Linked DNA regions of Xenopus tropicalis. The protein of the gene in region 2 purifies or fractionates together with the protein of the main gene of each other region. This does not show direct contact. Links are inferred from orthologs where the notes say so. Each region holds a gene or a part of one and is shown on either strand. Other genes may lie near its edges.

The links. Proteins that work in one complex are often made in the same cells at the same time.
Region 1: the proteins of cxxc1 (region 2) and bod1 purify together in Homo sapiens (affinity purification with mass spectrometry; 4 studies listed by BioGRID and IntAct, counting the BioPlex papers as one, with this or other methods). This does not show direct contact. The link is inferred for Xenopus tropicalis from reciprocal best matches to the Homo sapiens genes CXXC1 and BOD1.

The regions. Positions count from the first base shown.
Region 1 is NC_030680.2:152,361,349-152,368,144, reverse strand, and holds the start of bod1 (biorientation of chromosomes in cell division protein 1), read right to left. Parts: upstream 3,927-6,796; 5' UTR 3,870-3,926; intron 2,270-3,869; exon of another isoform or gene 2,179-2,269; intron 1-2,178. UniProt on the Homo sapiens protein: Required for proper chromosome biorientation through the detection or correction of syntelic attachments in mitotic spindles.
Region 2 is NC_030684.2:1,158,092-1,164,375, reverse strand, and holds part of cxxc1 (CXXC-type zinc finger protein 1), read right to left. Parts: intron 3,310-6,284; coding exon 3,200-3,309; intron 3,035-3,199; coding exon 2,934-3,034; intron 1,579-2,933; coding exon 1,430-1,578; intron 525-1,429; coding exon 117-524; intron 34-116; coding exon 1-33. UniProt on the Homo sapiens protein: Transcriptional activator that exhibits a unique DNA binding specificity for CpG unmethylated motifs with a preference for CpGG.

The DNA.
Region 1 (6,796 bases), on a different chromosome or scaffold from region 2:
CCCCAGCTGTACCAGTGCAGGAATGGCTGCCCCCGGGGCTACACAGCGGGGTATTTATTTAAACTATAGACGCATCCATGTAATAGTATTGCACAACACACATGAATAATAGAAATGAATATCTGTATAAGTATAATATTTATATACAATATATCTTTTACAGTATATAGATGCAGTATGTCCTGCAGGACGCTGGTGAAACTATAACTCCCAGAGTTTTTGCTTATCTGTCTCAGCTGGTCTCCTCCTAACCATTTTTCATCTTGTCATTCGCACACACAGGTTTGGTTGCTAAGGGCAAACCCAACAGAGATGTAAAGAACAGAAGCACTGATGGAGGATTAATGGCCCCTTCGTGACTCGTGTCAGAACAGGACCAGATGGACTTGGATACGGCAGTGAGGCTACCGGAACATGTACCTACTGTATCCAGCACCACTCACTAAGCACAAACAAAGCAGGTTATTGATGACAGCTTCCCCTTAGTGAGACTCAGCAGCCATTGATTTAGAAACAATACTTATCTCTATTGACTTATAAGTACAAGTAAGAGATGGCAGCAGGGCACGTGGGTATCTGCTAATAACTGATCTGCATGTAAGGCGGGGCTTCTGCGCACATGGAGATACAAACCAGCACTAACCTAAAAATAACAGGCAACACCGGGGAAATCTCCGTAACATGAACTTGGATATTACTATGGCTTCATTATGTGTCCAGCAACCCCAGGTTCTACAGTAACAAGAAAAACTGAAACAGACTCTGCACTGCTGGTTCTGGCTCTTTAAAGAACATCACAGAAGCCAGCTAGTGAGCAGACTGGGAGGAGAATTGTCTTCTGCTACATGGTGTCAAGAGTCAGAACCAGAGAAGAGACAGACACAGTGACAGTTACACATAACTATAAACCCAGTGAGAATGAGGGATGAATGGATATTGGGGAGTTGTATCAGGAGTCAGAACCAGCAGTGCAGGGAAGGGAAAGGGACAGACACAGTGACAGTTACACATAACTATAAACCCAGTGAGAATGAGGGATGAATGGATATTGGGGAGTTGTATCAGGAGTCAGAACCAGCAGTGCAGGGAAGGGAAAGGGACAGACACAGTGACAGTTACACATAACTATAAACCCAGTGAGAATGAGGGATGAATGGATATTGGGAAGTTGTATCAGGAGTCAGAACCAGCAGTGCAGGGAAGGGAAAGGGACAGACACAGTGACAGTTACACATAACTATAAACCCAGTGAGAATGAGGAATGAATGGATATTGGGGAGTTGTATCAGGAGTCAGAACCAGCAGTGCAGGGAAGGGAAAGGGACAGACACAGTGACAGTTACACATAACTATAAACCCAGTGAGAATGAGGAATGAATGGATATTGGGGAGTTGTATCAGGAGTCAGAACCAGCAGTGCAGGGAAGGGAAAGGGACAGACACAGTGACAGTTACACATAACTATAAACCCAGTGAGAATGAGGGATGAATGGATATTGGGAAGTTGTATCAGGAGTCAGAACCAGCAGTGCAGGGAAGGGAAAGGGACAGACACAGTGACAGTTACACATAACTATAAACCCAGTGAGAATGAGGAATGAATGGATATTGGGGAGTTGTATCAGGAGTCAGAACCAGCAGTGCAGGGAAGGGAAAGGGACAGACACAGTGACAGTTACACATAACTATAAACCCAGTGAGAATGAGGAATGAATGGATATTGGGGAGTTGTATCAGGAGTCAGAACCAGCAGTGCAGGGAAGGGAAAGGGACAGTGACAGTTACACATAACTATTAACCCAGTGAGAATGAGGAATGAATGGATATTGGGGAGTTGTATCAGGAGTCAGAACCAGCAGTGCAGGGAAGGGAAAGGGACAGACACAGTGACAGTTACACATAACTATAAACCCAGTGAGAATGAGGAATGAATGGGTATTGGGGAGTTGTATCAGGAGTCAGAACCAGCAGTGCAGGGAAGGGAAAGGGACAGACACAGTGACAGTTACACATAACTATAAATCCTGTATCAGGAGTCAGAACCAGCAGTGCAGAGAAAAAAAAATAACCATTACAGACACTAGGCAAAACAGTTAATGGTTGTCTTTCCCCTTTAAGCTGGCCTCTGTCCAATAGGGTTGAACATATCAATTTTTTTACCCTAACTCTTAGTCTTACCTGGCACTGCAATGTCCTATGGGTATCTGGGAACTTCCAATTATTCAGTCCTTGGGCCAATCATTAGATCATACTGGGGGGCCTATTTACTGCCCCAAATCTCATTATACCAGGTGCCCATAGAAGCCCATGAAGAGAGGGGTACATCAGGGGGTCTGTGGTCTCCCACCATCCATCTCTTAACACACTGTCTCACATGGTCTCTGCATTCTGTTATTTACAGCACTGCAGCACGGTGAGACCATCAGTGACTCCATAGGAACAGCTCCATACAAACAAATGACACAAGCGACACATTGTGGGTTAGTCCTGCAATTATGGACAAAGTCATGGGGTGGAATTGCTCATTAGTATAACTGCCCCTTTGTCTTCTGCCTCAGCAACCAACATTTGTGTGACAAACACAGCTGGGGCCAAACAAACAAATTCCCAAATCCAAAGCTGCCATGTTGCTTACTCTCTCTTTTTATTTATTATTTCTTATTATAATTACTACTAACTCACATCTATAAGCATCAAAATACGTATTATAGACTAGTTTATATAGTAAAACCCATAAGATTAGCAGAACAATTGTACCATCAGGTTGTGGATCATGCAGTATCAAGTCAACTTTATCAGCTTAGTCGCTCTTCCCTGTACTTTCTCTATTTCATTACTGCCCCCCCTTATATATTTATATATAGTGACCTCCCCCCCTTAACTGCCCCTTCCCCAGTGTAACCAATCCCAACTGGGCCAGCCTTTCCCCATAACTGAGCCCATTCCCTTTATCAGCTTAGTCGCTCTTCCCTGTACTTTCTCTATTTCATTACTGCCCCCCCTTATATATTTATATATAGTGACCCCCCCCCCTTAACTGCCCCTTCCCCAGTGTAACCAATCCCAACTGGGCCAGCCTTTCCCCATAACTGAGCCCATTCCCTTTATCAGCTTAGTCACTCTTCCCTGTACTTTCTCTATTTCATTACTGCCCCCCCCTTATATATTTATATATAGTGACCCCCCCCCCTTAACTGCCCCTTCCCCAGTGTAACCAATCCCAACTGGGCCAGCCTTTCCCCATAACTGAGCCCATTCCCTTTATCAGCTTAGTCACTCTTCCCTGTACTTTCTCTATTTCATTACTGCCCCCCCCTTATATATTTATATATAGTGACCCCCCCCCCTTAACTGCCCCTTCCCCAGTGTAACCAATCCCAACTGGGCCAGCCTTTCCCCATAACTGAGCCCATTCCCTTTATCAGCTTAGTCGCTCTTCCCTGTACTTTCTCTATTTCATTACTGCCCCCCCTTATATATTTATATATAGTGACCCCCCCCCCTAACTGCCCCTTCCCCAGTGTAACCAATCCCAACTGGGCCAGCCTTTCCCCATAACTGAGCCCATTCCCTTTATCAGCTTAGTCGCTCTTCCCTGTACTTTCTCTATTTCATTACTGCCCCCCCCTTATATATTTATATATAGTGACCCCCCCTTAACTGCCCCTTCCCCAGTGTAACCAATCCCAGCTGGGCCAGCCTTTCCCCATAACTGAGCCCATTCCCTTTATCAGCTTAGTCGCTCTTCCCTGTACTCTCTATATCATTAACATCCCATTGGAACTCTGGAGCCCAGATCACACAACATTCAATATGGGCCATTACCAGTGCTGTAACTAGAAGCATTCAGCATATAGAGATTATTTTACCTGCCTCTAGCACCATAAAGAGTTACAGTTCGGTCAGATCCCATTGCCGTATCCCAGCATTCCCCAGTGAATCACCCTGTAGGTAGCAGAGAAGCAGCTCACCTGTCAGCACCAGCAGTAGCCGGAGGGCACACAACCATGGACACTGTCACCATCGAGGAGAAGCGGCAGGTTCAGTGACATTCCTCTTCATGCAGCCGCTGCCATTAGGCTAGTAGCCCCGGTAACAGCCCTTATTGTTATAAGGCCTGGGAGACGGTCCGACTTCGGAGGCTAAAGGGAAACCTGTGGGGAAGGCAGATGGGTCAGGAATTGGCTAGAGGGTTCAGCTGGGAAGTTTGTTATCTTTTAGCATGATATAAACATTATTTTGAGACAATTGCCTATATTTCAATATATACATATTATAGTATATTTACTATATAAATTGTGAAATATATAAATAATATCTTTTCATTCCAGACCTTTTCTTATTCATCTACCAGTCTGTCATTCACACAACTGCCTGGTTGCTAGGGCTAGTATGCCTAACAGATAATCAGCAGGTATGATTGGCCGATCACATGTTTAAAAGCAAAAGTCTGGTTGGTTGCTCAGGGTTAGTAGATCTGGTTTAACATTTGGGAATATAATTACATGACCCCCTGCACAACAAATAGTTCTAATTAATGCCCCAAAACCTTAATTTCCCCTGTGCCCTACAGAAAGGGATTATGCTGCTCTGCATGCAGGAAAGGTGTAGTTAGACTAAACTTCCCAGCATCCTCTCAAGATCAATCTAAGCGCTACAGTTAGTGTTAGAGAAGCACGAGCCACCAGCTGCTGAACTACAGCTCCCAGCGCTCTGCAGTGTATTATACGAAACATGGTTTTGGGCCAGAAGTAAAAGTTGTAACTTAAGAATCTTATACCTCCAACCTGTGCCCCAACTACAACTCCCATCATCCCTTGTTTAAACTCTGCAACTTGGAAAGAGATTCATGACCAGAGGCACCGCTAAAAAGAAGATACATTATACTGTACCCCCACTCTACTGTACCCCCACTCTACTGTACCCCCACTCTACTGTACCCCCACTCTACTGTACCCCCACTCTACTGTACCCCCACTCTACAGACAGAGGGGTCAGAAAAGAGATTAAGTGCAATCCCAACCCGATTCCCTTTCCCAGGAAAAGCCCATTGCACTAAGCCTATTTGTGGGGATTACCCCACAAACACCTTTAAATACTCAGGGAAATCAGATTTTAGGGGCAGAGGGGAACAGTAATGACAGGCAGCTCTAAAGATAGAATCCGGCCACTGGATACTGGGGAGCAGAATCCTGGGAAAGGGGGTGAGTTAGTGGCAAAGCAATGCAGGGAAATACAGGGTTAAACAGGGAATGGCATTAACACTGTTAGAGATACAGTATTGCCTTATGCTGCCCGTGGTGCTGCCATGTTGCACAGGCTAGTGTAAAGCTGTAATGCCAGGCCGGACTCCATCCCTGCCTCAGGTTTAACTCTCCCATTTCCATTTCATTCTGTGTCTCCCTGAGAGGCCTATACTGTGCCACAGAGCTAGCAATCATACAGACTGCAGCTCTACACTACAACTCCCAGCATCCCCAAACAGTCTTTAAAACCACTTGGAGTCCATTTGTTTAATGGCACAGAAATAAAGTTCTGTAACACCACTTTGTCTTACTATATTCACAGTTACTGTCTGTCTGCCCTTACTATACACATTATACATAGTTACTGCCCCTTCCCAGACATTCTCTGCCCTTACTATACACATTATACATAGTTACTGCCCCTTCCCAGACATTCTCTGCCCCTACTATACACATTATACATAGTTACTGCCCCTTCCCGGACATTCTCTGCCCCTACTATACACATTATACATAGTTACTGCCCCTTCCCGGACATTCTCTGCCCCTACTATACACATTATACATAGTTACTGCCCCTTCCCAGACATCCTCTGCCCTTACTATACACATTATACATAGTTACTGCCCCTTCCCAGACATCCTCTGCCCTTACTATACACATTATACATAGTTACTGCCCCTTCCCAGACATCCTCTGCCCTTACTATACACATTATACATAGTTACTGCCCCTTCCCAGACATTCTCTGCCCTTACTATACACATTATACATAGTTACTGCCCCTTCCCTGACATTCTCTGCCCTTACTATACACATTATACATAGTTACTGCCCCTTCCCAGACATTCCCTGCCCTTACTATACACATTATACATAGTTACTGCCCCTTCCCTGACATTCTCTGCCCTTACTATACACATTATACATAGTTACTGCCCCTTCCCTGACATTCTCTGCCCCTACCATATACATTATACATAGTTACTGCCCCTTCCCAGACATTCCCTGCCCTTACTATACACATTATACATAGTTACTGCCCCTTCCCAGACATTCTCTGCCCTTACTATACACATTATACATAGTTACTGCCCCTTCCCGGACATTCCCTGCCCTTACTATACACATTATACATAGTTACTGCCCCTTCCCTGACATTCTCTGCCCTTACTATACACATTATACATAGTTACTGCCCCTTCCCTGACATTCTCTGCCCCTACCATATACATTATACATAGTTACTGCCCCTTCCCAGACATTCCCTGCCCTTACTATACACATTATACATAGTTACTGCCCCTTCCCAGACATTCCCTGCCCTTACTATACACATTATACATAGTTACTGCCCCTTCCCAGACATTCTCTGCCCTTACTATACACATTATACATAGTTACTGCCCCTTCCCAGACATTCCCTGCCCTTACTATACACATTATACATAGTTACTGCCCCTTCCCAGACATTCTCTGCCCTTACTATACACATTATACATAGTTACTGCCCCTTCCCAGACATTCTCTGCCCTTACTATACACATTA
Region 2 (6,284 bases):
AAAGGGCGTGTCGTCGGTGTCGCTGAGCCACGGCTGTGGAGACAGCACACAGGTCAGAACCGTTTGGAAGGAACCGTATGCGGAACGGCACCCAGTACCCGTGTGGGGAAGCTCACCAGGTTATGGTCGTCGAAGGCTCCCCCGGCACACAGCTCCTGGTAGAGTTCTGGGTCCAGCGGCAAGTCATCGTCGGACAGCGACCCGGCCAGGCTGCTGGGCTCTGGGGTGTCCCGGAACAAGGACAGGTCGTCGTCCTTCACCCGCAGCATTTTCTGGAGAAGGAGAATGGAATATCCAGGCACCACTGGGGCGGAAAGGAGAGGCCATTCTGCCCCGGGAGAGACAGGGGCACGTCTACTTACCCTCGCCCTGACTTGGCACTGGCGCAGCCGACACTTCTGCCGAATCTTATTGGGCCCCCCAAACTTCTTCATGTCTCTGCAGAAGTCACATTGGCCGCAGTCCTCTGTACGGCTACACGCCTCACACTCGCCACACATGCGCGCCGAGCGCTTAATCTGCTGCTGTAACGGGAACGGCGAGTCAGTATGGCCACGGGCACCCCCACATGTCTTACTGACTCCGTACCCCCATATCATGGAACCTCCAGCCCTACAATGTGAGTTCTACTGAGTGTCTGGGTGCAAACTGGACTGGAATAGAGATTCCCCTGTACTAAGCACGATTCAGCAGGAACAGCCCCCTAAGTTTGCTCATAGCCTGTACAGAGAGATACCATAAAACTATGGCACATAGGGATTCCCCTGTACTAAGCACAATTCAGCAGGAACAGCCCCCTAAGTTTGCCCATAGCCTGTACAGAGAGATACCATAAAACTATGGCACATAGGGATTCCCCTGTACTAAGCACAATTCAGCAGGAACAGCCCCCTAAGTTTGCCCATAGCCTGTACAGAGAGATACCATAACACTATGGCACATAGGGATTCCCCTGTACTAAGCACAATTCAGCAGGAACAGCCCCCTAAGTTTGCTCATAGCCTGTACAGAGAGATACCATAAAACTATGGCACATAGGGATTCCCCTGTACTAAGCACAATTCAGCAGGAACAGCCCCCTAAGTTTGCTCATAGCCTGTACAGAGAAATACCATAAAACTATGGCACATAGGGATTCCCCTGTACTAAGCACAATTCAGCAGGAACAGCCCCCTAAGTTTGCCCATAGCCTGTACAGAGAGATGCCATAACACTATGGCACATAGGGATTCCCCTGTACTAAGCACAATTCAGCAGGAACAGCCCCCTAAGTTTGCTCATAGCCTGTACAGAGAGATACCATAAAACTATGGCACATAGGGATTCCCCTGTACTAAGCACAATTCAGCAGGAACAGCCCCCTAAGTTTGCTCATAGCCTGTACGTACAGCAGCACAGGTATATAGGTAAATACACATTAGGTACCTACCCGGGGTACCTTGTTGCTGCTGCTGCTGGTGCTGCCGCTTTTCTTTTTTTCATTTTTTGCAGTCTCTTCATTTTCATCCTTTTCCGTTTCTCTCTCGCGCTCCTTCGACTTCTTGTGTCTGTATTTGATCTCAAGGTGCGGGTGTTTGTCTGGCACGTGGGCAAAAGGCACACCTTTATATATTTCTACTGCCTCTAACCCCCACCGGAACTGCCCCCCACATCCCCCGCCCCTACCGGCCTCTAACCCCCACCGGAACTGCCCCCCACATCCCCCGCCCCTACCGGCCTCTAACCCCCACCGGAACTGCCCCCCACATCCCCCGCCCCTACCGGCCTCTAACCCCACCGGGAAACTGCCCCACACATCCCCCGCCCCTACCGGCCTCTAACCCCACCGGAACTGCCCCCCACATCCCCCCGCCCCTACCGGCCTCTAACCCCCACCGGAACTGCCCCCCACATCCCCCGCCCCTACCGGCCTCTAACCCCCACCGGAACTGCCCCCCACATCCCCCGCCCCTACCGGCCTCTAACCCCCACCGGAACTGCCCCCCACATCCCCCGCCCCTACCGGCCTCTAACCCCACCGGAACTGCCCCCCACATCCCCCGCCCCTACCGGCCTCTAACCCCCACCGGAACTGCCCCCCACATCCCCCGCCCCTACCGGCCTCTAACCCCCACCGGAACTGCCCCCACATCCCCCGCCCCTACCGGCCTCTAACCCCACCGGAACTGCCCCCCACATCCCCCGCCCCTACCGGCCTCTAACCCCCACCGGAACTGCCCCCACATCCCCCGCCCCTACCGGCCTCTAACCCCACCGGAAATTGCCCCCCACATCCCCCGCCCCTACCGGCCTCTAACCCCACCGGAACTGCCCCCCACATCCCCCGCCCTACCGGCCCTCTTAACCCCCCACCGGAACTGCCCCCCACATCCCCCGCCCCTACCGGCCTCTAACCCCCACCGGAACTGCCCCCCACATCCCCCGCACCTTACCGGCCTCTAACCCCCCACCGGAACTGCCCCCCACATCCCCCGCCCCTACCGGCCCTCTAATCCCCACCGGAACTGCCCCCACATCCCCCGCCCCTACCGGCCTCTAACCCCCACCGGAACTGCCCCCACATCCCCCGCCCCCTACCGAGCCCTCTAACCCCCACCGGAACTGCCCCCCACATCCCCCGCCCCTACCGGCCTCTAACCCCCACCGGAACTGCCCCACATCCCCGCCCCTACCGGCCTCTAACCCCCACCGGAACTGCCCCCACATCCCCCGCCCCTACGGCCTCTAACCCCCACCCGGAACTGCCTCCCACACCCCCGCCCCTACCGGCCTCTAACCCCCCACCGGAACTGCCCCCACACATCCCCCGCCCCTACCGGCCTCTAACCCCCACCGGAACTGCCCCCCACATCCCCCGCCCTACCGGCCTCTAACCCCCACCGGAACTGCCTCCCACACCCCCCGCCCCTGCCATAATGCCCCTTGGTGCTTACCTCGGCATTGCACGCAGTACCACTCTCGTATGGCCTTTGCCATCTTCTCGGTGATGTTGATGCAGTGCCCGTGGAACCATTCGTTACAGTTGTCACAGCCGCTGCCGAGAGACAAACCAGGATAGAGATCAGGCTGCAGTGGGCACGGTGTCAGCTTAGGGGCATTATATGGGCTGTTAGTGGCATTAACGCCCCCCCTGGCTAGATGAGGGGTGCATGTTGCTATGGAATGACCCCCCCCCCAATCACACACGTGTATTTCTCACATCATGAAGCAGTTGATATCCGGCTTTCGGCAGATACAATACACCGGGGCGTTCTCTCCATCCTCCGTGTCCCCGGCCGCAGTCAGGTCCGCGTCTGAAAATTCACTCTCCTGGGGCAACAAAGAACCCCCCCATCAGTAACTGCCACAGTGGCTGTGCCCTATCCCCACTACTATTTGTACTAAGGGGATCAGGAAGGGAAATGTGCCTGTTGCAACATGGGGAGGGGGGGGTCCTATTCCTCATAGATTGTGAGCTTCTGAGTATCATTCCTTCCCATGGGCAGAGTGTCTTTACCCTTTCCATCTCTTGCTTCTACCCTAAAAGGTGCCAGGCTGGCATAGTATAACCCCCTGTTCCCGTGGGGCCCATTAGTACAATGCTGGGGGGGCAGTGCCAGTGTGACACAGTATAACCCCCTGTACCCGTGGGGCCCATTAGTACAATGCTGGGGGGCAGTGCCAGTGTGACACAGTATAACCCCTGTACCGTGGGGCCCATTAGTACACATGCTGGGGGGCAGTGCCAGTGTGACCAGTATAACCCCTGTACCCGTGGGGCCCATTAGTACAATGCTGGGGGGGCAGTGCCAGTGTGACACAGTATAACCCCCTGTACCCGTGGGGCCCATTAGTACAATGCTGGGGGCAGTGCCAGTGTGACACAGTATAACCCCCTGTACCCGTGGGGCCCATTAGTACAATGCTGGGGGGGCAGTGCCAGTGTGACACAGTATAACCCCCTGTACCCGTGGGGCCCATTAGTACAATGCTGGGGGGGCAGTGCCAGTGTGACACAGTATAACCCCCTGTACCCGTGGGGCCCATTAGTACAATGCTGGGGGGCAGTGCCAGTGTGACACAGTATAACCCCCTGTACCCGTGGGGCCCATTAGTACAATGCTGGGGGGGCAGTGCCAGTGTGACACAGTATAACCCCCTGTACCCGTGGGGCCCATTAGTACAATGCTGGGGGGCAGTGCCAGTGTGACACAGTATAACCCCCTGTACCCGTGGGGCCCATTAGTACAATGCTGGGGGGCAGTGCCAGTGTGACACAGTATAACCCCCTGTACCGTGGGGCCCATTAGTACAATGCTGGGGGGCAGTGCCAGTGTGACACAGTATAACCCCTGTACCTGTGGGGCCCATTAGTACAATGCTGGGGGGCAGTGCCAGTGTGACACAGTATAACCCCTGTACCTGTGGGGCCCATTAGTACAATGCTGGGGGGGCAGTGCCAGTGTGACACAGTATAACCCCCTGTACCCGTGGGGCCCATTAGTACAATGCTGGGGGGGCAGTGCCAGTGTGACACAGTATAACCCCCTGTACCCTGTGGGGCCCATTAGTACAATGCTGGGGGCAGTGCCAGTGTGACACAGTATAACCCCTGTACCTGTGGGGCCCATTAGTACAATGCTGGGGGGCAGTGCCAGTGTGACACAGTATAACCCCTGTACCCGTGGGGCCCATTAGTACAATGCTGGGGGGGCAGTGCCAGTGTGACACAGTATAACCCCCTGTACCCGTGGGGCCCATTAGTACAATGCTGGGGGGCAGTGCCAGTGTGACACAGTATAACCCCCTGTACCCGTGGGGCCCATTAGTACAATGCTGGGGGGGGCAGTGCCAGTGTGACACAGTATAACCCCCTGTACCCGTGGGGCCCATTAGTACAATGCTGGGGGGCAGTGCCAGTGTGACACAGTATAACCCCCTGTACCGTGGGGCCCATTAGTACAATGCTGGGGGGCAGTGCCAGTGTGACACAGTATAACCCCCTGTTCCCGTGGGGCCCATTAGTACAATGCTGGGGGGGCAGTGCCAGTGTGACACAGTATAACCCCCTGTACCCGTGGGGCCCATTAGTACAATGCTGGGGGGGCAGTGCCAGTGTGACACAGTATAACCCCCTGTTCCCGTGGGGCCCATTAGTACAATGCTGGGGGGGCAGTGCCAGTGTGACACAGTATAACCCCCTGTACCTGTGGGGCCCATTAGTACAATGCTGGGGGGCAGTGCCAGTGTGACACAGTATAACCCCCTGTACCTGTGGGGCCCATTAGTACAATGCTGGGGGGGCAGTGCCAGTGTGACACAGTATAACCCCCTGTACCCGTTGGGCCCATTAGTACAATGCTGGGGGGGCAGTGCCAGTGTGACACAGTATAACCCCTGTACCTGTGGGGCCCATTAGTACAATGCTGGGGGGGCAGTGCCAGTGTGACACAGTATAACCCCTGTACCCGTGGGGCCCATTAGTACAATGCTGGGGGGGCAGTGCCAGTGTGACACAGTATAACCCCCTGTACCTGTGGGGCCCATTAGTACAATGCTGGGGGGCAGTGCCAGTGTGACACAGTATAACCCCCTGTACCTGTGGGGCCCATTAGTACAATGCTGGGGGGCAGTGCCAGTGTGACACAGTATAACCCCTGTACCCGTGGGGCCCATTAGTACAATGCTGGGGGGGCAGTGCCAGTGTGACACAGTATAACCCCCTGTACCCGTGGGGCCCATTAGTACAATGCTGGGGGGCAGTGCCAGTGTGACACAGTATAACCCCCTGTACCCGTGGGGCCCATTAGTACAATGCTGGGGGGGGCAGTGCCAGTGTGACACAGTATAACCCCCTGTACCCGTGGGGCCCATTAGTACAATGCTGGGGGGCAGTGCCAGTGTGACACAGTATAACCCCCTGTACCCGTGGGGCCCATTAGTACAATGCTGGGGGGCAGTGCCAGTGTGACACAGTATAACCCCCTGTTCCCGTGGGGCCCATTAGTACAATGCTGGGGGGGCAGTGCCAGTGTGACACAGTATAACCCCTGTACCCGTGGGGCCCATTAGTACAATGCTGGGGGGGCAGTGCCAGTGTGACACAGTATAACCCCCTGTTCCCGTGGGGCCCATTAGTACAATGCTGGGGGGGCAGTGCCAGTGTGACACAGTATAACCCCCTGTACCCGTGGGGCCATTAGTACAATGCTGGGGGGGCAGTGCCAGTGTGACACAGTATAACCCCTCTACCCGTGGGGCCCATTAGTACAATGCTGGGGGGGCAGTGCCAGTGTGACACAGTA